Linked DNA regions of Stegostoma tigrinum. The protein of the gene in region 2 purifies or fractionates together with the protein of the main gene of each other region. This does not show direct contact. Links are inferred from orthologs where the notes say so. Each region holds a gene or a part of one and is shown on either strand. Other genes may lie near its edges.

What was found.
Region 1: the proteins of rnps1 (region 2) and srrm1 purify together in Homo sapiens (co-immunoprecipitation; 4 studies listed by BioGRID and IntAct, with this or other methods). This does not show direct contact. The link is inferred for Stegostoma tigrinum from reciprocal best matches to the Homo sapiens genes RNPS1 and SRRM1.
Region 3: the proteins of rnps1 (region 2) and phosphatidylinositol 5-phosphate 4-kinase type-2 beta purify together in Homo sapiens (co-immunoprecipitation; 3 studies listed by BioGRID and IntAct, with this or other methods). This does not show direct contact. The link is inferred for Stegostoma tigrinum from reciprocal best matches to the Homo sapiens genes RNPS1 and PIP4K2B.
Region 4: the proteins of rnps1 (region 2) and prpf6 purify together in Homo sapiens (co-immunoprecipitation; 3 studies listed by BioGRID and IntAct, with this or other methods). This does not show direct contact. The link is inferred for Stegostoma tigrinum from reciprocal best matches to the Homo sapiens genes RNPS1 and PRPF6.

Annotation. Positions count from the first base shown.
Region 1 is NC_081377.1:23,968,274-23,976,082, forward strand, and holds the start of srrm1 (serine/arginine repetitive matrix protein 1), read left to right. Parts: upstream 1-4,791; 5' UTR 4,792-4,858; coding exon 4,859-4,879; intron 4,880-7,809. UniProt on the Homo sapiens protein: Part of pre- and post-splicing multiprotein mRNP complexes. As a component of the minor spliceosome, involved in the splicing of U12-type introns in pre-mRNAs. Involved in numerous pre-mRNA processing events.
Region 2 is NC_081376.1:32,312,547-32,319,637, reverse strand, and holds the start of rnps1 (RNA-binding protein with serine-rich domain 1), read left to right. Parts: upstream 1-4,083; 5' UTR 4,084-4,216; coding exon 4,217-4,218; intron 4,219-7,091. UniProt on the Homo sapiens protein: Part of pre- and post-splicing multiprotein mRNP complexes. Auxiliary component of the splicing-dependent multiprotein exon junction complex (EJC) deposited at splice junction on mRNAs.
Region 3 is NC_081384.1:7,308,578-7,316,483, reverse strand, and holds the start of phosphatidylinositol 5-phosphate 4-kinase type-2 beta, read left to right. Parts: upstream 1-4,906; 5' UTR 4,907-5,172; coding exon 5,173-5,304; intron 5,305-7,906. UniProt on the Homo sapiens protein: Participates in the biosynthesis of phosphatidylinositol 4,5-bisphosphate. Preferentially utilizes GTP, rather than ATP, for PI(5)P phosphorylation and its activity reflects changes in direct proportion to the physiological GTP concentration.
Region 4 is NC_081372.1:31,363,115-31,370,006, forward strand, and holds the start of prpf6 (pre-mRNA-processing factor 6), read left to right. Parts: upstream 1-3,891; coding exon 3,892-4,061; intron 4,062-6,892. UniProt on the Homo sapiens protein: Involved in pre-mRNA splicing as component of the U4/U6-U5 tri-snRNP complex, one of the building blocks of the spliceosome.

The DNA.
Region 1 (7,809 bases), on a different chromosome or scaffold from region 2:
GGTCAAAATTGTCAAGCATTGCTTAGAACGCTCAAAAACCTAATGCGGCATGTTTCCTCTTCTATAAAACTAACATTCTCATATCCAACAAGATGGCCTTTAACTTCATTTAATTTGACAGTTGTATTACAGTCTTTTAGAACACCATAATTAACTGACATAATTAGCAGTCTTTTAGAAATCACATGATGATAACAAGTGAACTAATGATCCAATTGGCATTGTGGGTCAATCTGCAGCATGTGGACTGCAGCAATGGCTTAAGATGATTCGTCTGGTTGTTCATGTTCACTTGTTCAGAATTAAGTGATCTGTTGTGCATAGGTTCCTCAATGCAATAACCAGCTCTGCATTGTAAAGACTCCGCAGTTCATCAAGATGAAATTTGACACTCTGCCATTTCACTGTCATTTTTCACTCACGCCTGTCTCAACTTCTGCTTTCAAAAGATTTTCACAATTGTAAGAGGAATTTGGTGCGACGTGATATTAGTCTTTGTGCTGGACTACTTTCCATGCCTCCTCTAAGCACATTGTCCATTCAAAGATTACCTTGTGCAAGTCTGTGCTGGATTTCTCAATTTCTTCAGTTTTAGATTTGATTCGCTAGAGTGTGGAAACAGGCCCTTCGGCCCAACAAGTCCACACTGACCCTTGAAGCATCCCACCCACACCCAAACCCTAAAACCCACACACCCCTGAACACTATGGGCAATTTAGCATGGCCAATCAACCTAGCCTGCACATCTTTGGACTGTGGGATGAAACTGGAGCACCTGAGGAAACCCATGCAATCACGGGGAGAACATGCAAACTCTACACAGACAGTCGCCCTGGACTGGGATCGAACCCTGGTCCCTGGTGCTGTGAGGCTGCAGTGCTAACTACTGAGCCACCGTGCCACCTATATTCCTTTGGCGATTTTCACTGCTACCTGGCCTTTCCATTTGAGTGGGAACGGCGTAGTGATGTTGTATGGTGTTAAATTGACCTATCCTTTGTGAAGTGCCTGAAGTCTCCCCTTGGAAATTGAGGGCCATTGCCACGTATCACAATATCTGGAATGCTGTAACAACTAAAGAATGCTTTCAGGTATTGTATAATCTTAATATTAGTTGTTAATTTCAGTCAATATAAATCCCAGTAGAGTAATTAATGGTGACAAGATAAAAAGACAAGCCCCTGTGAGAGTGGAGGAGCCTACTACAAGCTTCATCCATGATCAGGCTGGGATGTGATATGACCAGCTTTTGACATCCAGTGATGTTACCATCACTGAATCCCCCATTATCAACTTTGAAGGGGTTACAATTAACCAGAAACTCAACTGGGAATTGCCACATAAAAGCCTGTCCACCATCAACAAGGCACAAGTCAGGAGTGTGATGGAATACTCACCACTTACCTGGATGAGTGCAGCTCTAACAACACTCAAGAAGCTTGACAACATCCAGGGCAAAGCAGCTGCTTGATTGGCACCATTTCAACAAGCTTCCACTCCCTCCACCACCCATGTTCAGCAGCAACAGTGTGTACTGCTTACAAGATGCACAGCAGATTATTCACCAAAGATTGTTAGTCAGCACCTTCCACACCTACTATAATTTTGATCTAGATGAACAAGGGTAGCACCACTTAATGCATGTTCCCCTCCAAGACACTCTCCGTCCTGACTTGGAAATATCTTGGTGTTCATTTAGTGTTCATGTGTCAAAGTTCTGTAATCTCCTCCCTAATGGCATTGTGGGTCAACCTGCAGCATGTGGACTACAGCGGTTCAAGAAGGCAGATCACCACCACCTTCTCAAGGGCAAGTAGGAATGGGCAAGAAAACTGGCCAGCCAGCGATGCCCAATTCATGTGAGTTATTTTTAAAAAAACCATAAAACCATCAGAAATAGGAACAGGGATAGGCCATTTGACTCCTTGAGCCTGGTCTGCCATGCAATCGGATCATGCTGATCCAATATGCCTCACATCCAATTTTGTCCTTTTTCCATGATCCTTGATTCCCTTGGTGATCAAGAATCTATCAACCTCAATCTGAAATATACACAGAACTCTGCCATACAGCTCTCTGTAAAAAAATTCCAAAGAATTTTTGCCCACTTTCTTAACCATCAATATTTCTCTGTAAACTGTTTGTATCCTTTCTGGAATCTGTCTTTCTACCTATTTCCGTGTTGTCTGCAAACTTGGCTGCAGAACATTCACTTACTTCCTCCAAGTCGTTAATATTTATTATGAACAGTTGCAGTCCCAGTACTCATCCTTGTAGAACCCTATGACCGACAGCCATACTAGTATGAAAACACCCAATCTTGTCTGATCTCGGAAGCCAGGCAGACCCAGGCCTGGTTAGTACTTGAATGGGAGAGCACCTGGGAATACCAGGTGCTGTACCCAGATCCTGGGGCAGGTTAGGCAGAGACAAGCACAAGAATTCCTAGAAGTATGGCACTCCAAAAGCCTGCTATTAATAAACACATTGAACTCAACCCCATTTCCATTCCACTACGAAGGAAAAACCAGAAGTGAGGTAATCCATCGCAACGGACCCCAGAGTTTAAAAACTAGGTGGGGAAACACACCGACGCTTAATTGGAGGCTGCACTGAAGATGTTAACCAGCACAGTAATGAAACATCTGCAAAACAAGAAACCAGCTGGGCGAGCCATCCAACCTCAACAACCTCAATTACACACACTCATGTTGCTTCAATCTTGCAGGAAGTTTGTCATGGTTGTCAGCAGCCCTCAATCAAGTGAAGGGTGACAGCCTTCAGTCAGAGGCTACCAAAATAGTAAATCAAGGAAAATCTCCAACACCAGTCCAAGGACATAGCACGGTCAGCCACCTGGAGCAAAGTCAGCATCCTTTCCTCATTGGGGGTAAGCACCTGACTGCTGGCCAGTCCACCACCAGTCTTGACCATTTCTTTTCCATTGTAGACTGTTTTTCTCCTGGAATGAGAGAGAGGCAGGTACTAAGGCAGATGAAGCTGGGTGGCACACTTACATTTTTTACTTGTGGGGAGATGTCCTGGTCGAGGGAGTAGACAGCACCGAGGGCATGCAGGCATAGAGATGCTGGGGTTTAGTGGGATGATAGCGAGTGAGGGAAGATGTTGCAGGCCTTTGTGGGAGGTGGGTACAATAGCTGGGACTGAGCGAGTGTGAGATTTGGAAAGAAGATGGTTGCACTGACTCTGGCAGGCAGGAGAAGGACATTGACTATACATTCCCGCAGACAGCTGATACTGCTTTAACCGGGCGGCAATTTTAACTGGGCGGCAATATTGGACCAGGCTGCTTGTTCTGGGACCATGCTGTCCTCTCCTGGAGAAGTGGAAATACCAGCTTTACATCTCTCTTTCCAATGCAATCTCCCAAGTCTTTGCTTGCAAAGTGAGGGACCGGTTTCCCCTATAACAAATTGTGAAGCTGGATGAACACAGCAGGTCAAGCAGCATCTCAGGAGCACAAAATCTGATGTTTCAGGCCTAGACCCTTCATCAGAGCAAGTCTAGCAGACTCTAGGCCCGAAACATCAGCTTTTGTGCTCCTGAGATGCTGCTTGGCCTGCTGTGTTCATCCAGCTTCACACTTTGTTATCTTGGATTCTCCAGCATCTGCAGTTCCCATTATCACTGGTTTCCGCTTGTCTGTTATGCCAGGGACGAATATCAGGAACTGTGCACACCAGCTCTAGGTGCCTGTCTGGGTGCACAATGGACTTTCGAAGATGGAGTAGGTGCAAGGGATTTTGGTTAATTTCAGGACATCCCATGGGTGGCTGAAACAACATGTGGCATGATGGAAGTGAAATTGAGCACAATTTTTTTCACCGTGTTGGGGGCTGGAGGGGATGATGGTGGTCAATGAGTTGAGTTTGGTAAGATACCCACTATCTTTGTGATGAAAAGCTCTCTAAGAACACATAAAACTCATATTTAGCCAAACAAATTTAAGATTCAGCTCTATATTTCAAATGATGCTGATTCAAATGACTGCCACAGATTGTGTGTAAGGACACTTTCAGTGGAAGTAGTGATCACATGATATTGTCAGCCCACCCTCTACACCAAGGTTACAAATGTATTTCTGCAAAAGGACTTATTTATGAGGATGGCAATGTACCAGCAACATGTGGCCTGTACTATGACGTTCAAGTCCACCCTAAAGTTAAGGTTTGGGCCTCATTCATCTTCATGTGAAAAGCTGATGGCAGCCGCTGTGTCTCCTCATAATGGTCATCCATTTTGGAAGAAGTCTAATTTTGGCTCATTTGCCTCACCAGTTGCAGACCAAAGCCAAGGAGTAAAAGAAAGATGTTTGGGGATTGGGGAGTGGTTATCCATAAAGTGGAATTAGTTGGTCAGGTTCGGTTAGAGATGTTGCGGCCCCGTGTATCGTTTAGACTACACGGGTTAAGTCTCTTGTAAGACGAGTCATTGCAAAGATTTGAAAAAAAATGCATATGCTCCAGAGTGAAATTTGTTATCAAGACTGCTCAAAGACGTATAAATGCGTGACACAAGACTGAAGTGGATCATATTATTAAATGGAAATTTTATGAGATTCAAGCCACTCAGGCAGCACGTGTTTGAATTTAACTTGTTGTTCTGTTGCTACAGTATTTGTGAGTGAGTGCTCAGACAGAACAGCAAATCAACGTCTGGTTCCGTCTCCCGGGCTGCGAGGCTTCGGCTGTTTCCGCAACAGGGGCTGCGAGCGCTCGGCTATTTCCGCCATGCGGCCTGTGCGGCCTCGGCTGTACCCGTGTACCGGAAGCTCCTTGAAGAACGAACGGGTAAACCGGAAGTGGGTGATCCGGCAGCCCCTCCACAGACAGACAAGATGGACGCGGGGTTTTTCCGCGTAAGTAGAGCAGCAACCGAGTAGAGCTTGTTTGTCGAGCCCGATTGGAAAGCTCATCCATTGTAGTGGTGGCCGGAACAATTCAAAGGACCGGCGGACCTGTTCTGGTTGTTTTAAATGCATAAAACTCGGGTCTTTTCCCTGAATACACGTAACTGCGGATTCGGCCTTAGCAACCGAGCGGGAATGAAAATGGCGGCGGGTGGCAGGCTTTTGATGGAGGGGAGGGAGGCAAGGGAGCCGTACTGTGGGTTTGGTTTTTGTCTCTCCAGCTCATCTGTTCGTCTAATTTAATTCATTGCACCTTGAGTGTAGCTAGGGAGCAACATGTCTCATTTTAGTTCTGGACGAAACCCGGGCAATTTTATTTTCCTTGAGGGATCGGTTCTAATGCGGCAGCCAGTGGAGCCGAAGCCCAGCAAAGTGCCTGACCGACTCTTAACACAAATCTTAACTCCGTGGTTCGAATCTTAATCCGGTTCCTCCCTGTTGTTTTTTGGAGCTCTTCTGGCTTTTGCACCGAATGTTTCAAACGGTATTTTTGTTTCTGAGGCGCAATTGAATGACTCCATTAGGGCCTGGTTCTCCAGCATGGTCGCAAATAGAGCGTCGTGTGGTTCGAGGCTGAAAAATGGACCCAAGCTATCTACCACGCGAGGGGAAATACAGTCACCTTTAAACAATCAAAGTACTCGTTCGTTTTAGATATAATAGACATCCAAGCGAATTCATGACTCGATTAATTTCAAAGCAGATATAATCCGAAGTAACACTTCAAATATTTTATTTGGAATTAGAGATAAAATTGCTTTAATGTAGAACAGATTATCGGGTGAGCGAGTTACAGTTTGTGCTGGATTCTAGATTTGTGTTTTTTGTTTAAAAATTCAAACTAGATTCAGTAGTAAAACGTCTTTAACTTGCTGCAGTATTGTATTGTTTCCCTTTATTCTGACCAGAACATTGTATGATTGGAAAGTCCAGATTTGTATGGTACATATCAGACATTTAAGTGTTAATACAAATTGTAAGTAATGAAAATGGAGCAAGTTGCAATTTATTTTTGGAACTGTTTGACACTCAAAAACTTGTTCATCCCTTCAGTGCGTTGCTTTTATCATGCTATCTGACGTTTTGGTTGACAGTTTTTGCTTTTTGGTGACACATAGTAAAAGCTGGTTTCTTCTATTTTGGCCATTTCAGAAAATCTAGTGCTTAGCTTATCATTAATTTGTTGCAAAATAATCTTTTTTAAGAAATGAAAAATAATCACAGAAACAAGTTTGGCAGTAGCAGAGAGTAAATTTATTTCAGATCTATGATCTTTCATCAGAGGTAGGGGGAATGTGATAGGTTTTTTAAAAGTGAAGTGGGGGGAGATTGATGAAAGGCTAGATCTGATAGCCTAATCTATCCCACCTCCTACCCTATTTAATGGGATGTGGGTATTGCTATGAGGCCAACATTTATTTCCCATCTCTCATTTCTCTTGAGCTGAGTGACTTGCTGGGCTGTTTCAGTAGCTAGGAATCAACCACGTTGGCCAGACCAGGTAAGGATGTTGATTTTTAATGGCAATTGATACTTTTATGATTGCCAGTGCTGAAACTAGTTCTGTATTTCAGATTTGAATGCACTTTTGCTGGATACTAACTGATTTTTGGATTACTTTATCCATTAAAATTAATGACAGCACTGTATCTTTTTAAATGACAAAAATGATCTTGCAACAAAACTAATGGGATTGATAACGGAGTAAATAAAAACAAAATGTGCCTTGGGGCGATGTGATTGGTAGGATCATAAAATCCAAAAGAGAGCCAAGATAAATTAGAAACAAACCTGCAAGGGGAAAGAACAGGACCAGAGGTTATGATCTAAAGCCCCTAATTAAAGCATAAGATGATGATCCTTGAGCTAGTCTTGGAATGCATCAGATGACTGACAGTGGCAAAAATCAACGGGAATAATTTGTAGATTTAAAATGATCAGTGACTGGAAGCTTAGGGCCATGTTTTTGGACTGACTGTAGAAAGTTGTGCAAAGGGCCTGCTTGATTTACATTTGGTTTCAGTATGAAAAATTATCCACATTGTCAGTGGAATAATTAATTGAAATTTCAAGTAAATTGATATTTCACCTGGAAGCATTGTTTGGGGGTTTTGAAGATTACAATTGAGTTAGAGAAGGGTAGGTATTTTATTATGCATGAGGGTTGTGGAGGTGACTGAGTAGTAGGTCTCTAAGTTGCAGAGGACATAATCCTTTTCTATTTATTTGTGAGATGTGAGCATCACTGGCTAACCAGATTTATTGACCATCCCTAGTTTCCCTTGTAAAGGAGGTGGTTAGTTGTAGCCTTGAACTGCTGCAGTCGCTTGCTGCGCGTTGACCCACACCACCCTTGGGACAGAATTCCAGGAGTTTGACCCAACAAAAGATATATTTCCAACTCAGGATGGTGAGTGACTTGGGGAACCTGTTGATGTTCCTGTGGGTCTGCTGCCCATTTCCTTCTAAATGGAAGAGGTTGTAAGTTTGGAAAGTACTGTCTGAGGATCTTCAGTGAATTTCTGCACTGCATCTTGTAGATAGTACACATGGCTGCTAATGATTGTCAGTGGTGGAGGGAGTTGATGTTTGTGGATGTGGTGCCAATCAAGTGAACTGCTTGTGTGTTGTCAGAGCTGCGCCCATCAGTCAAAAGGAAAGCATTCCATTACATTCCTGACATGATTTGAGGTGTCTGGCAAGTAACTCACCTCCTTAGAATTCCAAGCTTCTGACCTCCCCTTGTAGCTACTGTTTATGCGGTGACTTCAGTTGAGTTTCTGGTCACTGGTAACCACCCAGATGTTGATAGTGAAGGATTCACAATGTCAAGGGGTGGTGGTTACATTGTTTGTTATTGGCGATGATAATTGCCTGGC
Region 2 (7,091 bases):
CCAATAAGTCTCTCTTTCTATGATCAATATAGATTATAAATAGTTGAAACCCTTATCTGTTCCTTGTGCCATTCCTGTGGTTACAGCTGTTTATTTCTATATTTGTTTTCTGTCTATTAGCAAATTTTCTATTCATGGTAATGTATTCATGCCAACTCCATTAATCCTTAGCATTTAAATGATCATTTGTGATGCACCTTATTGAATACAGTTTGGGGAATCAAAGTATATCAAAGTGCATTGTTAAGATGTCCTCAACAATAAATTCTACCATATTCATGACAATTTATGTTGGGCTTGTAATTCTTATTTTCTCTTCCCTCCTTTCTTGAATAGCAGTGTTACATTTACTAATCTGTTAACTCAAACCACTGAGACCTTGTGGAATCTACAGGACTTTAAAATCAAAACTAGGGCATCTGCTATCTCTGCAGCCACCCTAGCTCCCCACAAATGTAAGCCATCAGGTTCTGGAGATTTGTCAAGTTTTAATTCCTCAAATTTCTTTAATAATTTCTGCTGCAAACATGAATTATTCAAAATGTCTGATTCTTATTAGCTCCTTGGTTAATCTCTAGCTTTGAGGTATAATTTGAGTGTTCTGAAGGTAAGTTAGACAAAATATTTATTCAATCCGTCATTCCTCTTGAGAATGAATTTGCTTCCTTGAGACTTTTACAAGCCAAATATTTTCTCATTGCGTTTTGATCGTCATTTGATGGTTTCCAAAAATCCCCCAATTCAAAGGCTTGCTTGTATTTTTCACAACAAATATGCCATTTCTGTAATACCATAAGTGTTCAAGCCCAATGTCTCGGGCACATAATTTGGATTGACACTCTGTGCAGTCCTGAAGGTGGTGCTATACTGTTGGAAGTGATATTTTCAGGGGAAACTTTAAATTGATACCCAAAAACAAAAACAGAAATTGCTGGAAAAGCTCTGGAGGTCTGGCAGCACCTGTGGAGAGAAATCACAGTTAATGTTTTGGGTCAAGTGACCCTTCCTAAGAACTCCGATTTCTGTTCAACAGCTGCTGCCAGACCTGCTGAGCTTTTCCAGCAATTTTTGTTTTTGAGGTTGGTGACTTGCTTGCGGAGCTGGTTGGCTATGATACAGACATTTCGTGACCATGCTAGGTAACATCAACAATGTGGCCTGCGATGAAGCGATGTTGTTCTACCCTGCTGGGTATTTATATAATTTGGTCTGTTGAGGTGGGTTGTGTCATTTCCGGTTTTGTTCTGCATGGACTTGTATATGGGGTCTAATTCCATAAGTTTGTTAATTGCATTACGGGTTGAAAAACAGGCCTCTAGGAATTCCTGTGCATGCCTGTGGTTGGCTTGAGCTAGGATGGCCATGTTGTCCCAGTTAAATTGATCACAAGAAATCACAGTTAATGTTTTGGGTCAAGTGATTGCTACCGTGATTCCTAGTGGTCATAGGAGTCTCAGCAGTTCTTACATCTTCTTGATATAGAGTAGTGTGGCCAGTGTATTGGGGTGTATTGTGTCCTCTTGGCACTGCCAATCTAGTGGGCACCTGTGGGTGAAGTTGTTGGAATATCTGTTGTTAGCAAAAGACCTTGTATAGGCGCTGTTCCTACTTCCTGCGTAGTTCTGGCATGTTGCATTGGTTCGTGGCCCATTTGAATAGTGTCCTAGATTTGTTTGGGGTGATTGCTGTGGAAATTGAGGATTTGGTCAGTGTGGGCTGCCTTCCTGTATACTGTGGTTTGGAACTCCCCATTGGTCACTTGTTCTACCCTCATGTCGAGAAATGGAAATTGATTGTTGTCTTCCTCTTCTCCTGTAAATTTGATCCCAGTGAAAATGTTGTTAATGAGATCGTGTGTCGCTTCTAACTTGGTGCGTTTAATGATGACAAACGTGTCGTCCATGTATCTGGTCCACAGTTTTGACTGTCAGGCGGCAGGAGTGGGGGTTAGTGTGTTCCAGACCTTGTATTGACTGCCCCTGCAATAAGTCCTGAGATGGGCGACCCCACAGGTTTACAATTGATTTGTTTGTATATTTGGCCATTAAAGATCAAGTGTGTGGTGACGCATAGGTCCAGCGGTCTGAGTATGTTGTCCTTGCTGAAGGAGCTGTTTGAAGTTCAGTGTTCCTGCTGTATCCAGTAATGTGGTACGTCAATGGACATGAATAGTGCTGTGACATCAAAGGATACCATAATCCCGTCATCATTGATTTTAATGTTCTTGAGGTAAAGGGTTGAGTGGATGGAGTGAGGTGACCATCCTGGTTCAAGCCAACCGCAGACATGCACGGGAATTCCGAGGGACCAAGTATTTTACCCTTAAAGCAATTAACAAACATGTGGAATTAGACCCCATATACAAACCCACGCAGAACAGAGCCAGAAATAACACAACCCAACTTAATAGACTGGATGGTACAGTGGCTCAGTGGTTAGCACTGCTGCCTCTGAACACCAGGGACCTGGGTTTGATTCCAGCCTTGGGTGACTGAGTTTGTGGAGTTTGTACATTCTCCCTGTGTCTGTGTGGGTTTCCTCCAGGTGCTCCGGTTTCCTCCCACTGTCCAAAGATGTGCAGGGGAGGTGTATTGGCCATGTTACATTCCTTATCATGCCCTGGCATGTTTAGGTTACGTGGGTTAGATATGAAAAATGCAGGGATCGGGGAATGGGTCTGGGTGGGAATGCTCTTTGGAGGGGTGGTATGGATTTGTTGGGCTGAATGGCCAGCTTCCACACTGTAGGGATTCAATGATGATCTTGTGTGAGATACCAAATGGAGTAGAACAACACCGCTTGATTGAAGGAACTGATATGTTACCTAGCACGGTGACAAAACGTGTACATACACTGGGCAAGCTCCCAGCCCGAGCTACAAATCTTTGCAAGTTTCTGATTTACACCAACTGCAGGTCTTCCGTTTTCTTTAAAAAAAGATTAAATTGAGACCCTCGTTTGCCCTCTGGGATGGATTTCACAACATTTTTGGAAGACAATCAGGAGCGTGCCCTCCTACATTTTTCCATCCCCACCCCTGTCTGCTTTCCGGAGAGACCACTCTCTCCGTGACTCCCTTGTTCGCTCCACCCTGACCTCCAACCCCACCACACCCGGCACCTTCCCCTGCAACCGCAGGAAATGCTACACTTGCCCCCACACCTCCTCCCTCATCCCTATCCCAGGCCCCAAGATGACATTCCACATTAAGCAGAGGTTCACCTGCACATCTGCCAATGTGGTATACTGCATCCACTGTACCCGGTGTGGCTTCCTCTACATTGGGGAAACCAAGCGGAGGCTTGGAGACCGCTTTGCAGAACACCTCCGCTCAGTTCGCAACAAACAACTGCACCTCCCAGTCGCAAACCATTTCCACTCCCCCTCCCATTCTCTTGATGACATGTCCATCATGGGCCTCCTGCACTGCCACAATGATGCCACCCGAAAGTTGCAGGAACAGCAACTCATATTCCGCCTGGGAACCCTGCAGCCCAATGGTATCAATGTGGACTTCACCTGCTTCAAAATCTCCCCTTCCCCCACCGCATCCCTAAACCAGCCCAGTTCGTCCCCTCCCCCCACTGCACCACACAACCAGCCCAGCTCTTCCCCTCCACCCACTGCATCCCAAAACCAGTCCAACCTGTCTCTGCCTCCCTAACCTGTTCTTCCTCTCACCCATCCCTTCCTCCCACCCCAAGCTGCACCCCCATCTTCTACCTACTAACCTCATCCCACCTCCTTGACCTGTCCGTCTTCCCTGGACTGACCTATCCCCTCCCTACCTCCCCACCTATACTCTCCTCTCCACCTATCTTCTTTTCTCTCCATCTTGGGTCCGCCTCCCCCTCTCTCCCTATTTATTGCAGAACCCTCACCCCATCCCCCTCTCTGATGAAGGGTCTAGGCCCGAAACGTCAGCTTTTGTGCTCCTGAGATGCTGCTTGGCCTGCTGTGTTCATCCAGCCTCACATTTTATTGTCTTGGATTCTCCAGCATCTGCAGTTTCCATTATCTCTGAGTGCCCTCCTACGCCGGGTTCAGCGCATATCCCGACCCAACGACAGTGCAGCGTGCTCTCTCACTCCCCCCGGTGGTGCTCACCAGTATCGCAAATGTTTGTGTCATGACGCAGCGTGCGACGGGTGACGCGGGTTGAGCGGGACGGTTTTGCGGCCCAGGCAGCGGCGAGCGAGAGCGGATCGAGAGCGGAATGTGAGTGGACGGGAATCCATGTCCATCGGGGCCAGGGGCCGCCTGACTGCAGCGACAGTTGGCTTCTCGCGTTCGGGGTGGACTGTGTTCACTGCACTGTGACGGCTTTATAAGGATGAATAGCCCTTTGTACAGTTGGAATCTCGGTGTAGAACGGAGCCCGAGGCCTAGTGGAGCGAATCTTATTGATTAGTGGGGAGGGGGTTGACCGGGAAATTCTGCTATATCCCTGGGCCTGTTGTTGACACCTGACCCCGGGGTTGTCCCGCTAACAAGCCTACCTGCCATACTCAAGCTGTTTCCTGTCTTTCCCCTCTTACTGAGGTGGTTACTGGGACACCTTCCACACACCCATGAATACTCCCAATACCTCACCTTGAACAAGTTGGGTCCTGTCAGTAGGAGATTATTTAAGGAATTAGTGAATGTAACATTGTAAATATTAGATTAACGATGGAAAAGGACAAAGAACAAACCAAAATAAAAAAAACTTAATGAGGTGGGCCAGTTCTGGATAAATTAGAATCATATACTGTGATTAAACTCTGGGCAGCTGTTGAAGATAATGTACTTGAGGTACAGTTGTTGGAAGTAGATTCCTCTGATGGAATAATAGGATAAACAAAATACTGTCTAATCAAATAGAGAAAAGATTGATGTCTACTTGGTGTAGTATCTTTACCATAATGAGGTCTGAAAGTGCCTCATAGGAGTATTCTAAAACTAAATATGACCATAGAGTTATGTAAGGAAATATTAAGTAAAATGATCAAAATCTTGGTCAAAGAGATTACAAAGGTGGAAGGGCTAATGACTTGGAAGGATTTGAAAATGAGGGTTTTTAAAATTCATCACAGGATGAGTGTGTTGCTGGCTAGGCCAGCATTTACTGCCCATCCCTAATTGCCCAGAGGGCAGTGAAGTCAACCACATCTGCCTGACAAGATAAGGATGTCAGTTTCCTTCCCTCAAGGACATTAGTGAACCAGATGGGTTTGTCTGACAACTGATGATGGATCATGATCATCACTAGACACTTTCCCAAAATGTTTAAAAGTTAAAATTAAGATGTTGCTTGACTGGGAGCAACTGAATTTCAATGAACACAGGAGTGACTTGCTGCCAGTTAAGAAATGAGCAGCATAGTTTTGGATGATAAAAAGTTTGTGAAGGATAAATTGGGAGACCAGCCAACAAGCTTGTTGGCATATTAAAGCCTGACAATGATGAAGGCAGGAATATAAAACAGTAGAAGAGATGTGTGACAAATGTCATGTTGATAATACAAGTGAGAATCAGCTGCTTTGGAAAGGTCAGAGGGGAAATGAAAAAGGAAACAGAAGGAATGGGAAGAGACTGGCAGCTATCGTTAAAGACCACCCAAAACTATTTAAATAGTGAAAGGATGATAAAACAAGACTATTCCCATTTTGAGACCAAAAGAGAGATTTATGTATCGACATGAGGTGCTATGTAAGTACTTTGCACTGGTCGTTACTGAAGAAAATTCTGTGAAAGTCATCAGCCATCTTGTCATAACGAATGGCAAAGCAGGCTCAAAGGGCTGAATGGCCTATCTTTGCTCCTATTTTTGTGTATTTTTATATTTCTAAATGGAGGTGGGTGAGATGATGAATGGGCCAAAAATTGACAAAACCTGGCGGTCTTTAAAGTTGCTAAGTCACCAAGACTGGAGGAGATGTATCCAAGTATACTGGGGGAAGTCAGGCCAAAATTTGTGGAAGTGCAGGTCATAATCTTCTAAACTGCTTTCAGAGGTGATGGCATGGCACTGGAGAAATGCCAGTGTTTGACTCTTGTAGAAAAATCTTGTAAGCATGAACTCAGCAATTGCAGGCCAGTCATTTTAACCTCAGTGTTGGGGAAGCTTTTTAAAAATAATAATCTTTGAAAAACTGAGTAACTTGAAAAAGTTAATTAATTAAAATCAACAGAGATATGTTAAAGGCATATCATGTTTAAATTATTTTGATGAGGTGATGGATAGTTAGAGAATATTGCATTTGCTATGGCATGCATTGACTTTAATATGTTTGGTAAAGTGTTACAAAATAGGCATGTCAGCAGAGTTGAAGGCCATGGAGTATAGTTAACAGCAGCAGCTTGGGTGCAAAGTTGGCTTAGTGAGATGATCGTGGAATTGGAGCTTACACAGTGGGTTCTCTAGGAGAGTCATTGTTAGGACCATTGCTTTTCTTGACTGTATTAATAACTAGAATAGTTGGGGGCACAGAGCATAATTTCAAAATTTATAGATATCACAAAATTGGACATTGGAGTGAACAGACATGTGGAATATGAAATTTATTGCAGGCAAGTGGAAAGTATCTTAGTAAGAAGAATGAGGAGAGGCCACAGAAAATAAAGGGTATAATGTAAGGGGGAGCAGAAACAGAACTGCGTATATATCTATAAGTCATTGAGGGTGGCAGGGCAGGTTGAAAAAGTAATTTGAAAAGGTATACAGGATCTTGGACTGTATAGAGTACATAGGGAAGTTTTGATGAACTGTCATAAAACTCTGATTTGCCCTCAATTTGAATATTGTGTATTCTGGGCAATACATTTTAGGAACCATTTGATGGCAATAGAGAGAGTTTTGAAAGGTCCATAAACATAGTTCCAGGAATGAGGACCTTCAGTTACATGGAGAAGTTACATTGGAGAAGATAGATTGGGGCTATTTTCATGAGAGAAAATTGAGAAGACATTCAGTAGCAATGCTCAAAATCAGGAAGGGAAAGAGTAGACACAGGACAGAGCATTTAGAAACTTACCTGTTAATAGTGTATGTGCGAATTAGAAGCGAATGATTTAAGATAATGAACAAATTCATAAAAAGCAAGGCAGCA
Region 3 (7,906 bases), on a different chromosome or scaffold from region 2:
CTGGAGTCACCAGACTAGATAAAGATGGCAGTTTCCTTCCCTAAAGGACATTAGTGAACCAGATGGGCTTTTCTGACAATTGACAATGGATTCATGGTCATCGTTAGACTCTCAATTCCAGATTTTCTGTTTTATTGAATTCAAACTTCTCTATCCACCTTGGTCTCTGGATTAAAAGCCCAGCAATAATACCACTGGGCCATCACCTCCCCTATTCTGCTCCTAGTTCTTCTGATGTTATTGAATTGTCAAGCAAGCCTCAGGGACAGCATGACCTACTTCTGCTTATACTTTTTATGTTCCTGCATATCACTGTGGTTCAGTTAGTTGTTCTCTCGTTTCTGAGTCACAGCAGTATGGGTTCAAGTCCCACTTTAAGATATCCAGAGATAACAGAGAACCAAGTTAACGGTCCAGTGCAACAATAAGGGAATGCTGCACTGTTGGGGATGTATGCATAGCAAATCATGCAGTTTAAAAGTCATTCATCATATATGAAGCGCTGCTGATTGTTTCTCAGAGATATCAGAATGAGCTCAAGAAATTTGCATCTTTCTGATGAGTCATACAATTTTATTTTATTCCACCGAATGTTTTGACAAATGGTTTCCAAACAGTTGCAAATGCATATCTCATTGGAAGTTCTATTTTGGATATGGTTCACAAAGCAGACCAGAAGAACGCTATGTGGAAATCACATGATGCTCCGATTGGAATGCATTTTGAGCGTTCTGTCAAATTTTAATCATTGAGTCACAGAAGGAAGACTGATATTTCCTGACAGAGGACTGAATTATAAGAAAGAAAGTCAGACTTGCATTGCTGTAGGGAAATGCCAAAGTGGTCTCCAGCTAATTCAGCGTTTTCAAACTGTATACCTTGGATAATGGCTATCTTGATTAAGTCATTTCTTAACAAAAAGCAAAGAACTGCAGATGTTGGAAACCTGAGGTAAAAACAGAAGTAGCTGGAGAAACTCAGAAGGTCTGGCAATATCTGTGAAGAGAAAGCAGAATCAATGTTTTGTGTCCGGTGACTCTGCCAGAGTCATAGGGACGTATAGCATGGAAACAGATGCTTTGGTCCAACTCATCCATGCCCCCAAGATACCCTAGATAAATCTAGTCCCATTTGCCAGCACTTGGGCCATATCCCTTCAAACCCTACTTATTCATATACACATCCAGATGCCTTTTAAATGTTGTAATTACACCAGCTTCCTCCGCTTCCACTGGCAGCTCAGTCAATATATGCACCACCCTATGTGTGAAAAAGTTGCCCCTCGGCTCCCTTTTAAATCTTTCCCCTCTCACATTAAACCTGTGCCCTCTAGATTTCAACTCCACCACCCTGGGGAAGAGACCTTGTCTATTTACCCAATTCACGCCCCTCACGATACTATAAACCTCGATAACATCACCCCTCAGCCACCAACACTCCAGAGAAAATAGCCCTTGCCTATTCTGCCTCTCATTCTGTTGAAATTTTGACTCTGCTTCCTCTCCACTGATGTTGCCAGACTGTTTAGTTTCATTAGCAATTTTTGTTTTTGTTTCAGATCATTTCTTGCTGTGTATCATACAACGAAATGCTCTAATATTGAAAAGTGACCAGTCTACCTGTGGAAAGATAAGGTGTTAAAATGTTTGAGCAATGGGAGAAACTGGCTCTTTCATTTGCAGTCATAAAGCCAAAAGCTTTAGTTTGAGCTATAGGGAGAGGCTGAATAGACTGAACCTATTTCCCCTGGAGTGTCGGAGGCTGACGGGTGACTTTATAGGGGTTTATAAGTATATGAATGACATAGATAGGGTAAATACACAAAGTCTTTGTTGGGGAGTCCAAAGCCAGAGGGGATAGATTTAAAAGGGACTTAAGGGGCAACTTTTTCACACAAAGGTGTTATGTGTATGGAAAGAGCTATCAGAAGAAGTCGTGGAGGCTGGCACAATTACAACAATTAAAAGGTGTCTGGATGGGTATATGAATAGAAAGGGTTTAGAGGGATATGGACCAAATGCTGGAAAATGGGACTAGATTAATTTAGGATATCTAGTCAACACGGATGAGTTGGACTGAAGTGTTTGTTTTTGTGCTGTACATCTCTATGACTCTATTAGAACACATTCTGCCTATCATGCAAATCAGTAATTTGGTATAGGATTTCAGGGCCAGATGGATGCCAGTATGTAGGTGATACATCCATGGACTGGCAGATCATATCATGCAGGGTATCTCTTTAGTTGTTCCCAACAAGTAAGATACTGGCTGCACACTTAATCAACACGTAATTGCACAAATAATAACATTAGATGTGATCCTGCAAGAGGACACCATTTGGTGGATAACCCTTAATGTCACAAATAATGCTGACAAGCAATTTAGATTTGTCAGTCAGGCTCACAATATGGTGCACTGGCATATATTGGCAGCTGCATATATTAATCCACAGGCCCTGTTCTTTGTAGACAGAAAATAATATGTACATGTACTGTCCCTGTTTCCACACTACAAATAGCTCATAGCTATTTGCTGCTTCATTTCTCAGGACAATGCCCTGACTAATCAGAGTCAACCTGCTTGGTTTAAAATATAAATAAAGGCTGCTGTTAACTGTCAAACATCATTAGAGGGTGTATTCCATGTGGCAACTCTCTACCAATCTGAGTTCACATGCCAACCAATCAGCACTCTCCTCTCATGCAGTACAAATAATGGCTTTCACCTTGAATTGGTAATCTTGCGAAGCATCCTGATAAATACAAGATGAAAAGCTTTGACAAAATGTGACTTCCTCAGCTCCACAGGAGAAATATTGACAAGGACACAGGTGACTTTCCTGTTCTTCTTTGAATAGCATCACACCATCTTTTATGTCTATCTAACAATGTGGATGAAGACTGCACTTAACCTGAAGCAGAGGGTTGCAGCAGTCCAGCACACACTCAGGACTGTACTAAAGTACCACATAAGGTTATGTGCCCAAGCCTGTGCAACTGGCTGGGGGATGGAAGGGTGGGAGGGTGCCGTGAATAGACAACTTTCTGAATGATTGAAAGGTTTCATGTCTATTCAGAAATCAGTAGTAGGAGAGGCTAGGACTCAGGGCACAGCCTAAGGGTGAAGGGACAACCTTTTAGAACTGAGATGAAGATGAATTTCTTCAGCCAGAGGATGGTAACTGAAATAACTCCCAGAAGCTGGTAGCCCATTACCAAGTCACCCTTTATTTACATCCGAACAGTCCTTAATAGTGCATAGAGCTGGATGAACAAAGCAGGCCAAGCAGATTTTCTGAAGAAGGGCCTAGGTCTGAAACGTCAACCTTCCTGCTCGTCTGATGCTGCTTGGCCTGCTGTGTTCATCCAGCTCTTCACTTTGTTATCTCAGATTCTGCAGTTCCTACTATCTCTGAAACAGCCCTTAATAGTATTGCCTCATCCAGAGTCAGGCACAAGTGTCAGTATCCCTGACACCCAACATTTTTGTGTCAGCCAGGGCTCCCTGATCGGACTAGATTAACAGCCCCAATCATGGAACTAATATTCCATGATGTCCAGGATAATAAAATGTGAGGCTGGATGAACACAGCAGGCCAAGCAGCATCTCAGGAGCACAAAAGCTGACGTTTCGGGCCTAGACCCTTCATCAGAGAGGGGGATGGGGGGAGGGAACTGGAATAAATAGGGAGAGAGGGGGAGGCGGACCGAAGATGGAGAGTAAAGAAGATAGGTGGAGAGAGTGTAGGTGGGGAGGTAGGGAGGGGATAGGTCAGTCCAGGGAAGACGGACAGGTCAAGGAGGTGGGATGAGGTTAGTAGGTAGCGGGGGGTGCGGCTTGGGGTGGGAGGAAGGGATGGGTGAGAGGAAGAACCGGTTAGGGAGGCAGAGACCGGTTGGACTGGTTTTGGGATGCAGTGGGTGGGGGGGAAGAGCTGGGCTGGTTGTGTGGTGCAGTGGGGGGAGGGGACGAACTGGGCTGGTTGAGGGATGCAGTAGGGGAAGGGGAGATTTTGAAACTGGTGAAGTCCACATTGATACCATATGGCTGCAGGGTTCCCAGGCGGAATATGAGTTGCTGTTCCTGCAACCTTCGGGTGGCATCATTGTGGCAGTGCAGGAGGCCCATGATGGACATGTCATCAAGAGAATGGGAGGGGGAGTGGAAATGGTTTGCGACTGGGAGGTGCAGTTGTTTTTTGCGAACTGAGCGGAGGTGTTCTGCAAAGCGGTCCCCAAGCCTCCGCTTGGTTTCCCCAATGTAGAGGAAGCCGCACCGGGTACAGTGGATGCAGTATACCACATTGGTAGATAATTCCATGATCTCCAGCTGGTTTAGCTCATTACAATCGCTACAGTGACTCTTTAGAACTCATTGCCACTGAGGGCTGTTGTAGTGATTAGAACCAGGGCCAGGTGGATCCCATTGACTATGAGATCCTTTGGTTGAGGTTGTTAACCTGAGTTAATCAGGGAGTCCTGGCTGACGGATATTAACAGGAGATTCAGAGGGTCTACTCAGTCTACAGACTAGCTTTGAGTTGACTAGTTACAACCCATGTATTGTGCACATGTAAATAAAGGGTGACTTAGTGATAAGATACCAATCTCTGTGTAGTTATTTCAGCTGTAGAGGCCAAGTCAGTGAGTGTATTAAGCTAGAGATAGGTAGATCCTTGACTACTAAGGTGATCAAGGGATACGAGCAGAAGGCAGGAGAATGAGGTCAAGAAACATCAGCCATGATCAAATGTCAGAGCAAACCCGATGGGCTGAATGGGCTAATTCTGCTCCCATATCTTACTGTCGTCCGGTACTGGTAGGTGGCAGTGTCTTCCACTGTGTGGAAGAACAGTTGTGTTCATTGGGTTGTAGACACGTCTTATAGCAGCAGGGGGAGCAGCCTTATTGCTTGGAGAAAGAAGGCGAGAGAGACACCGAGACAGACAAACAAGAGACATTCATAGGGTTTTTAGTTCTCACTCGTCCACTCATGAGGAGGTACCATGACATTTTGGTCTCACGTTTGCAATGTGCCGTCAAGCCTAGGAATTTAAAGGCTAACAATTAACAAATACCAGAAGCAAGGGGAGGTGCAAAAGGAAAATATTAAGGTCCTTTTTCTTCTTGCATTTGGTTTTTTGAGGGGGGGGATTAATTTTGTTTTACAAAAATGGCAGCCAACTGTACTGCTAGTGCCAGCAAGACAAAAACCAAGAAGAAACACTTTGTGGCTCAAAAAGTGAAGCTCTTCAGGGCCAGTGAGCCCCTACTCAGTGTCCTGATGTGGGGAGTCAACCACACCGTGAGTAAGATCAAATCTGTCTTAATTATTGGAATGATTATAATTTATTTATTCATGCATCTTAAAGAGGATAATGTACTTTGATACGGGGAGCTGGAACTTGAGAGAGTGATGGTTTAAGATGCGCAAACGTTTAATATTCTTTTTCTTTTAGACCTTAATTTAAGATTGTGCATTTTGCAAGAGAAAACAAGCTTTTAAAAATGATTTTCAGTTTAATTTTTAAGGATCAATCTAGCCTTTTTGGAGGGAGGGTTTGGAGCTGGAGGCCTATTACATTTACAGGAGATCTTTTAGGAGGGAACCTCATCTAATAATGAATGACAAGTAAATATATTGTTGCTGAACAATGTTTTAATGACTTAGATTGTTTTCATTAATAAAAATGGAAAGCAGAAATGCATTTTTTTCGTCTTGTTTAAGATCCAGTTTAGGGCGGAGGGAGGAGTTGGGTTTCAATAAAGAAGCAAAATTAATAATTTTACTTCGATCAGTTTTTTTTAAAGCAGGGTTTATTTATTGGAATATTTAGAGCTACTTTTAGGCTTAATTATTTCGGGCTCGTGTACATTTTTTTCCCCTCGGGTCCAAAGAGGGGTGGTTTTATTTAGTTTCCATTTTAAAATTATAAATAATAATTATTAATATTTAAATCTCTCATTGTCAGTGGTGGATTGCTTTCTCTCTAGATTTTCGTCTTTTTTGTTTTTCGTCTCATTTGACTTGATTTCTGACTAAGTTTATTACAAACCAGTGGAAAGGAAAAATCGTCGTCTATTATTAATAAAACTGACTTTATCGGAGTCGTCTCATTTTTTAAAAAAATTGTCCTCCCCTCTTTGGGTGCAATCTCCGGATTCCAGCAACTGTCCCTTCAGGTCGAGCTCTCTACTCAGGCAAATCCGAGGCTTCTGCGGCCTAGCTCGACCGAGCTTGAGGTTTTATCTATCACAATAATTGTTTAAGAATGCTCATGGGCATCAAAATCTCCCTTCCAAACAAATCCACGAGTTTAAGGAGGCAGGGCAATGATTTAAGCGAGTATTTAGTTATTTTGGGGGCCGCATGTGTTAGTTTTGCACAATTGTGGGTTATGGTTTATAATTTGTTTTGTGTTTTGGGTCCAGTAATTCCCGTAATTTGATGATTTCACTTTGGGATTACAGCATTTAGTGTAATGTTACGTTTTCAAACAAGCTTATGACTGAGTGTATGTATGTATGTGTGTGGAGAAGCTCATGTTTAGCGTCCTGATACCGTCTGGTTTATAAAGAGGCAATAAAAGTTCCTGAAGCTACAAATGTCCATCTTGATGCCAAAGTGGTGAACCCAATTTTTTTTTTATAAAACGTCAATGAATTTTTGCTAGGTAAGGATATTGAGGGTTATGAGCCAATACAAGTATGTGGAGACTGTGTTATCTCAGTAGATAATGGAACTGTTTTGAGGGACAGAATGGCCTCCTCCAGTTCCAGTGATGCTGATGCAGAGCATCTGAGGATCCTTCATTGTGGGGTGGTGGAGCATTGCCAGTAGTACATTTGGAGTTAGAAGGCAGAACTTGTGGTTTCCATTTGGATAGCTCAGGAGCTACCTTATAAATGCTAGCCCTTGTTTAAGTGGATTCACCCAGTAATATGTGGTGGATGGTTTGGATTTGAAGAATTGATTTTGTTTTGAATAAAAAGTCTGACTGTGGTGTAGTGGTTTAGCTAGTGATTTTACAATCTACCTATTCCTTCTGGAAAGTTCTTGGTTCACCTGTTCCCCATGTTGGCTGGGAAATGCAGTAGAACGCCACAGTTACATACTCACTGTGATCCTTCCTTCTCCCTGGCTGGCTTTTCTCTCACCAAATGCAGTGACTGGACTGAGACTGCAATCAGCCCCAGTACAGATGGAGAACTGAACCTGGGTCTTTCTTTATCTGTTTTATTTTGCCCATTGAACCACCAGAAGAACCTGTGTTTGTGACTTTATTTTAATATTGTTTCGAAATCAGTTCTGCATCTGTATCTGTATAAATGTTTCCACTTCTGAGGGGTTGTAAAACGACAGGACATAATATAAGAATGTTACTAACAAGTGTCTTCTAAGTAACTAATCATTTTTTTAAATGCATAAGTTAGTTAGAATGTGAATCTCTCTCCTAATGAAGATGAGACAAATAACTGATATAAGAGACAGAATTGAAGTGTGTTGGATAAAGTAGAGACAGTAGATAGACGTCAGTTGGCAAAATGTCCCATCTCTATGCTCTAAATTCCATGTAATTCTGTAAGGAAAGAAATATGAATACGTCAGTGCTACTTCTGTAAATTAAGTTTGTATCCTAAAGTCTACTTCTTTTAATATGGATTTCAGGGGAGTGGTAATGTTGTAATCCATAGTAATCAAGTCAACAGATCGTTGTCTGAGTGAAGTATCCTCAGGAATTAATTAAACAATACTTGAGCATTTCAGGCACGGGAGAGAATGGCCTGTTTATGTTGCTTGCAGAATTTCACCCTGCAATTGTGAGTGCCTATGCCACATGGATTGCAGTGGTTCAAGAATCTTGAAGAGATCTAGGGATGGGCAATTACTGCTGGCCTTAGGCATG
Region 4 (6,892 bases), on a different chromosome or scaffold from region 2:
CCATCAACTCAGTAAAAGACGCTCTTTGGTCTGCCTGAAACTTGCTGGTTTTCCAGAGCAAGGAGTTGACTCCAACTGTGTGTTATAGACTGGTATGTTACAACGGTCAGGATTACATGCTGAGGCATGCACTGAAGCTTAGAGCAGCTGCTGCCAAGGCACAGTGGGGAAAGACCACCATCTAAGACCTTTCTGCCAAAGTTAAATAGAGGCCTAAAGTAGTTCTGTACAGTCTTTACATATCTTCTTTTGTCTTTCAAAAATATACTTTATTCATAAAAATCTTTTTATACATATGTAGTTCCTGGAGCAGTTCGATTCTGTATAATCTCAGCATATTGAGAACAAACAAACATTGGAGGTTTGACTCTCCTGACAGTTTCAAAAAGGCCAAAGGCATTTCTTACTTTTGCAAATACAATTTATATACGTTTGATGCACCAGGAGGACCCATAACTGAATGGATCCACATTTGACTTTACATTTTTTTGTTTCAAATATAATATTCAGAAAATACCTTTATACACATTTATAGTCACTGAAGCAATTTGGTTCTGAACAGTAGCAATTGAAGAAACAGTGTGTTTTGCATCAGGGTTTACTGTGGTGAAGGACATGACAAAAAAGGTAGGGAACTTGGGGAAATAAAACGTGATATCTTGAAAAATGTCCATGTTACTGAGGAGAAAGTGCTGGATGTCTTAAAATGTAAAAAGGTAGATAAATCCCTGGGACCTGATCAAGCATACTCAAAACCTCTGTGGAAAGCTAGGTAAGTGTTTGCTGGGCCTAAGCTGAGATATTTGTACCATCAATAGCCACAGGTGAGGTGCCAGAAGACTGGAGGTTGGCTAACATGGTGCCACCATTTAAAGAAGGTGATAAGGAAGAGCCAGGGAACTATAAAGTGGTGATACTGACATCAACGGTGGGCAAGTCATTGGAAGGGATTATGAGGACAGGATTTCCATGGACTTGGAAAGGCAAGGACTGATTAGGGATAGTCAAATGGCTTTGTGTTTGGGAAATCATGTCTCATGAACTTGACTGAGTTTTTTGAAGAAGTAACAAAGAGGATTGATGAACGCAGAGCGGACTTCAGTAGGTGTTTGACAAGGTTCCTCATGGTAGGCTGGTTGGAAAGGTTAGATCACATTGAATACAGGGACAACTAGCCTTTTGGATACAAAAGCACCTTGAAGGTAGGAGACAGAGAGTGGTGGTGGAGGGTTGCTTTTCAGATTGGACACCTGTGACCAGCTGTGTGCCACAAGGATCAGTGATGTTTCCATCACTTTATGTTGATTATATAAATGATTTGGATGTGGACATAGAAAGTATGGTTTGTAAGTTTGCAGATGACATCAAAATTTAGTGTAGCCAACAGCGAAGAAGATTATGCCAGAGTACAAAGAGCCTTGATAAGATGAGCCAACAGGCCAAGGAGTGGCAGATTGAGTTTAATTGAGATAAAAGTTGCATTTTGGAAAGGCAAATCAGGGCAAGGCTTAATAATGAGGCCCTGGGGAGAGTTGTTGAACAAAGAGACCTTAGAGTGCAGGTTCATTGTTCCTTGAAAGTAAAGTAACAGGTAGACAAGATAATGAAGAAGGCATCTGGTATGCTTGTCTTTATTAGTCAATGCATTGAATATAGGAGCTGGGTGGACATGCTGCAGCTATACAGGACATTGCTTAGGCCACTTTTGGAATACTGCATTCAGTTCTGTTCCTCCTGTTATAGGAAGGATGCTGTGAAACTTGAACAGGTTCAGTAAAGATTCCTTAGGATGTTGCACAGGTTGGAGTGTTTGAACTATTGAGATTTGCTGAATAGATTGAGACTATTTTCCCTGGAGCGTTGGAGGCTGAGGAGTGACCTAATAGAGTTTTAAAAATCATTTGTAGCATGGATTGGGTGAATAGGCAAGGTCTTTTCCCTGGGATGGGGGTCCAAAACTAGGCGGCATAGGTTTAAAGTGAGAGCAGAAAGATTTAAAAAGTACCTAAGGGGCAACTTTCTCACAGAGGGTGATGCACATGTGGAACAAGCTGCAAGAAGAAGTGGTGGGGGCAGGTACAATTACAGCATTTAAAAGGCATCTAGATGGCCATACGAATAGTAAGGGTTTAGAAGGATATGCCAGCAAATGGGACTAGATTAATTTAGGACATCTGGTCAGCATAGATAAGTTGGACTGAAGGGTCTATTTCCATGCTGTACAGCTCTTTGTCTCTATGACTCACCCAGCTATGCTATCCCTGTAACCATGAATTTCCCATGGCTACTCTACTTAGACACTATGGGCAATTTAGCATAGCCAATCGACCTAACCTGCACATCTTTGGACTGTGGTTGGAAACCAGAGCACCCAGAGGAAACCTATGCAGACACAGGGAGAATATGCAAACTCCATTCGGTCGCCGAAGGGTGGAACTAAACCCTGGTCCCTGGTGCTGTGAAACAGCAGTACTAACCACTGGACACGGCAAAAGGCTCTCTACAACACAGAAACAAGGCAGGAGAGAACAAGCAGCCTTGACTGACTCTAGATCTGATTGGAAAACTTTCTGATTCCCACCGATTGTTTGAGTCTGCAGTATTGATGTTGGTGTAGAGCCATTAGATCCAATTCGGATTTTCTTCCCAAAGCCCATTTAGAGAGAACATCCCGCATCGTGTCAAAGTCCTTTTCCTGGTCCGGGCTGATGAGGCAGGACCCCTGTTCTGCTTGTAGGTGATCATATGCCTGAGGAGCATGAGGCTGTCAGAAATTGTCCTGCCCAGTATAGCACAAGTTTTGTCCGGGTGAATCACTGATCCCAGAGTCATCCTGACATGACTGGTTACCAATATCTAATTTCTACCCATCCTCCCTTCGACTTTGAGATGAGGGTGATGACACCTTCCCCGTGGATTCTGACTTGCTGCCTGACAGAAACTTACTGTTGTATGCTATCTTGTTTTTATTTCAAAAATATTCATAAAAGTAGTTTGGTTCTGCACAGTTGCATATCAAGCAAGCAATCTAATCTAATCAAACAAAATACTTTCTGAAGAAGGGTCCTGACCCTAAATGTCAACTTTCCTGTTCCTCTGATGCTGCCTGGCCTGCAGTGTTCCTCCAGCTCCAAATTAGACCATAAGACATAGGAGTGGAAGTAAGGCCATTCGGCCCACCAAGTCCACCCCACCATTTAAATCATGGCTGATGGGCATTTCAACTCCACTTCCCTGCACTCTCCCCATAGCCCTTGATTCCTTCTGAGATCAAGAATTTGTCGATCTCTGCCTTGAAGGCATCCAGCATCCCAGCCTCCACTGCACTCCGTGACAATGAATTTCACAAGCCCACCACTCTGGCTGAAGAAATGTCATCTCATTTCAGTTTTAACTTTGTGTTGCGTCTGACTCCAGCATCTACAGTTCTTGTTATCTCCAAACAAAACATTAAACTTTGACTCTATCCCTAAACAACCTCTGTTACACAAAACTGGTATTCACATCTTTTTGAGAGTCTGACAACTGAATTACCTCCCTTCAGCTGAAAGACTTCAGACATGGTTTCTACATGCAATCAGTACTTCTCTGAGTTTCACTCTTCAGTTTTTAAATTTATTGCTTTTCCTCTGGTGAGAAGCTATCCTAGTTGCTTCATGGTGATTGGTTTGAGTTGGGAAAACTCAGTTTGGAGGCCAATATTTCAAGGAGTTGGTCACTGCAATAATCTGGTAGCTGCATTTGCTGCTGTCTTCCAGGTCCAATGTCAGAGAGCTGCTCAGGTATGTAAATAAGACGTAAACGAGGAGTCCCGATATGTTAATAAGATGATCACGTGCTCCTGCCGCGCTCCTGCCGTAAAGGCTTATGGGACTAATTCCTGCTTGCAAGATGGCGGCGGCGGTAGCAGCATCTTCGGTTGCTCCTGGCACTGGTACAGCTGCTGCACCGAGTGGGGTGAGCTCGGGGGGTCCAACCCTCACCGGGACCCTTAACAAGAAAAAGAAGCCGTTTCTGGGCATGCCTGCGCCTCTCGGTTACGTGCCGGGTTTGGGCAGAGGGTGAGTTTAATTCTGCATCTTCTGCTTTTCCTCCGTGGTGCTGCCTGTAAGTAAACACGCCAACCGCGACGCACCAAGGTGCCTAATTTAAGGATTGAGGCTGATCGCCGTAACTGTTCACACAGGCCCTGAAACGGTACCTTAGAGTCTGTTTTGTTTCTTATATATACTAGTTCAATTCTGCTACCATTTAAATTTTATATAAACATAGGAGCAGAAGGAGGCCCTTCGAGCCTGCTTTGCCATCCTTCACGATCGTGGATGATCGTCCAACGCAATAGCCTAATCCTGCTTTCTCCCCATAAACTTTGATCCAATTCGCCCCAAGTGCTATATCTAGCCAAATAAAAACCCAGAGAACTGCGGATGCTGTAAATGAGGAAGAAAAACTGATGAGATGCTGGGAAAGATAACTGTGGAGCTGGAGGAACACAGCAGGCCCGGCAGCATCAGTGGAGCAGCAAAGCAGGAAACATCACCTCCACACAGTGTTATCTCTGACTCCAGCATTGGCAGTTCTTTCTATCTTGGAGTTGCTGGAAAAGCTTAGCAGATCTGGCAGCATCTGTGAAGGAAAAAAATGAGAGTTCACGTTTCGGGTCCGATGACCATTCTGAGTTCCACCGGACTCAAAACATTAACTCTGATTTTTTTTCTTCACAGATCCTACCAGACCTGCTGAGCTTTTCCAGCAATTTCTGATTTTGTTTGAGATAACAAGGTGTAGAGCTGGATGAATACAGCAGGCCACTTTGCATCAGAGGAGCAGGAAAGCTGACGTTTCAGTTTTCTGTAGAAGGGTCTAGATCCGAAACGTCAGCTTTTCTGCTCCTCTGATGCTGCTTGACCTGCTGTATTCATCTAGCTCTACACCTTGTTACCTCAGACTCTCCAGCGTCGACAGTCCCCACTATCTCTTCTGTTTTTGTTTGTTCTATCTAGCTACCTTTTGAATACATTCAATGTTCTGGCATCAATTACTTCCTGTGGTAATGAATCCCACAGGATCATCACTCTGTGTGAAAAAATGTCTCCTCATCTCTGCCCTAAATGGCCTACCATGAATCCTCAGACTGTGATCCCTGGTTCTGTACACAGTCACCATTGGGAACATCCTCCCTGCATCAACTCTTGTCTAGTGTTGTTGTGATTTTATGTCTCTATGAGACACCACCCCCCCCCCAACTTTGCCTGAACTCCACGGCAAACAATCCTAACCTAGTTAATCTGTCCTCATACGTCAGTCCTGCTATCCCAGAACCAACCTCTTGTTGAAAACCCTGATTTATGCAAAAATGTCAGATGGGTAGTTTGTCTTCTTAAAGAAAATAACACAATATTCAACAGTGTGATAAAGCAACACCTCGTCCTATCCTATATTTCCTTGTGGCTGCACTTTGCAACAAGGAGCTGCAAGCTGTGAAGCCACCAAGCAGTTAAAAAATGGAACATATTGCAGCTTAAATGAGGATTAGTTTCAGATACCGAAACCCTGAGCCCAGATGATGTCTGAAAGATGTTGGGTGAATTTGTTTCACTATATTTTTCAAGATGCCCTCAAGTCCTGAACAAACGTTAATGAACTTATTAAAGTTTGCAAGGTAATGTTGAGCAATTTGACCTGTCCCCCATATGTGGGATTTAATGTTATAATCCAGAAGTGGTGAATGTCGCTGTATCCAGTTGTTTCCTTACCTGACATAAGCCAATATAAGAGTTGATTCTGGGAGGTGTTTTAGGACTAGGCCATTCGCCTCCTTAAACCTGCTCTGATGTTCAATAAGGCAATGGTTCATCAGATGATAATTTCATTTCCACTTTCTTGTTTACCATATAACCCTTGATTCCTTTGTCGATCAAATTGTATTTAACTTGATTTTGAATGTTGTCAATGATCCAGCTTCCACTGTTCTCTGTGGAAGAGAATTGCACGGAGTAATGGCCTACCAAGAAAAATGAAAATTCTCATTCTTAAGTAGGCAACATTGTATTTTAAACTATATCCCCTAATTCAAGTCTCTACAACAAGAGGAACCATTACCTCAAATTTTTTATGTTTTCATCGGACGTACATATACACGTGAATTAAGAGCAGGATTGTGCCTTTTAATGCCTATAACATTGAATAATTTTTCATTTGCCATTGAATAATTTGATCATGAGCTCAACTCCACATCCACACCACCTTTATGACAATTAACTCCCTAATTAAGAATCTGTCTATCTTGGCCCTAAAAGTGGTCAGTCATCCTGTATCCTCTGCTCTCTGAAATAATTCTAAAGGCAGGCAACCCTCGTTTTAAAAAAAAATCCTCCTACGTCTTAAATGAGACCCTTTTTAGTTTTAAACTGTGTTCCTAGTTCTAGTCTCTCCTAAAAAATAAAATATCCTTTTAATGTCCACCCTATCAGGTCCCCTCAGGATCTCGTACATTTCAGTAATTTGTTCTCGTGTCCAGTAGGTAAAGCCTCAACCTTTTCTCATGAGAAACAGTTAATCCCCAATCGCCATTCAGCTGTCAAATGAACCTTCGCTGAACGTGTACATCCTTTCTTAAATCCGAACTGTGTACAGTACTTCAAGTGTGGCCTCACAAACACTCTATAACTCAAGCAAAATATTTCCAGTTTCTTTTTCAATGAGATCAGCTCTAATTCTTAAGGTTCAATGTGTACGTGCCAATCTTTCACCATAAGACTCTTCCTTTATCCCAGAATCAACCAGCTGGACTACTTCTGCTGTGCTATTAATGTGGTTACATCGTTCCTTAAATAAGGACGCCAAAACTTCTAGATCTGGTCCTACCAGTGCCTGTACAAAGTTCAACCTC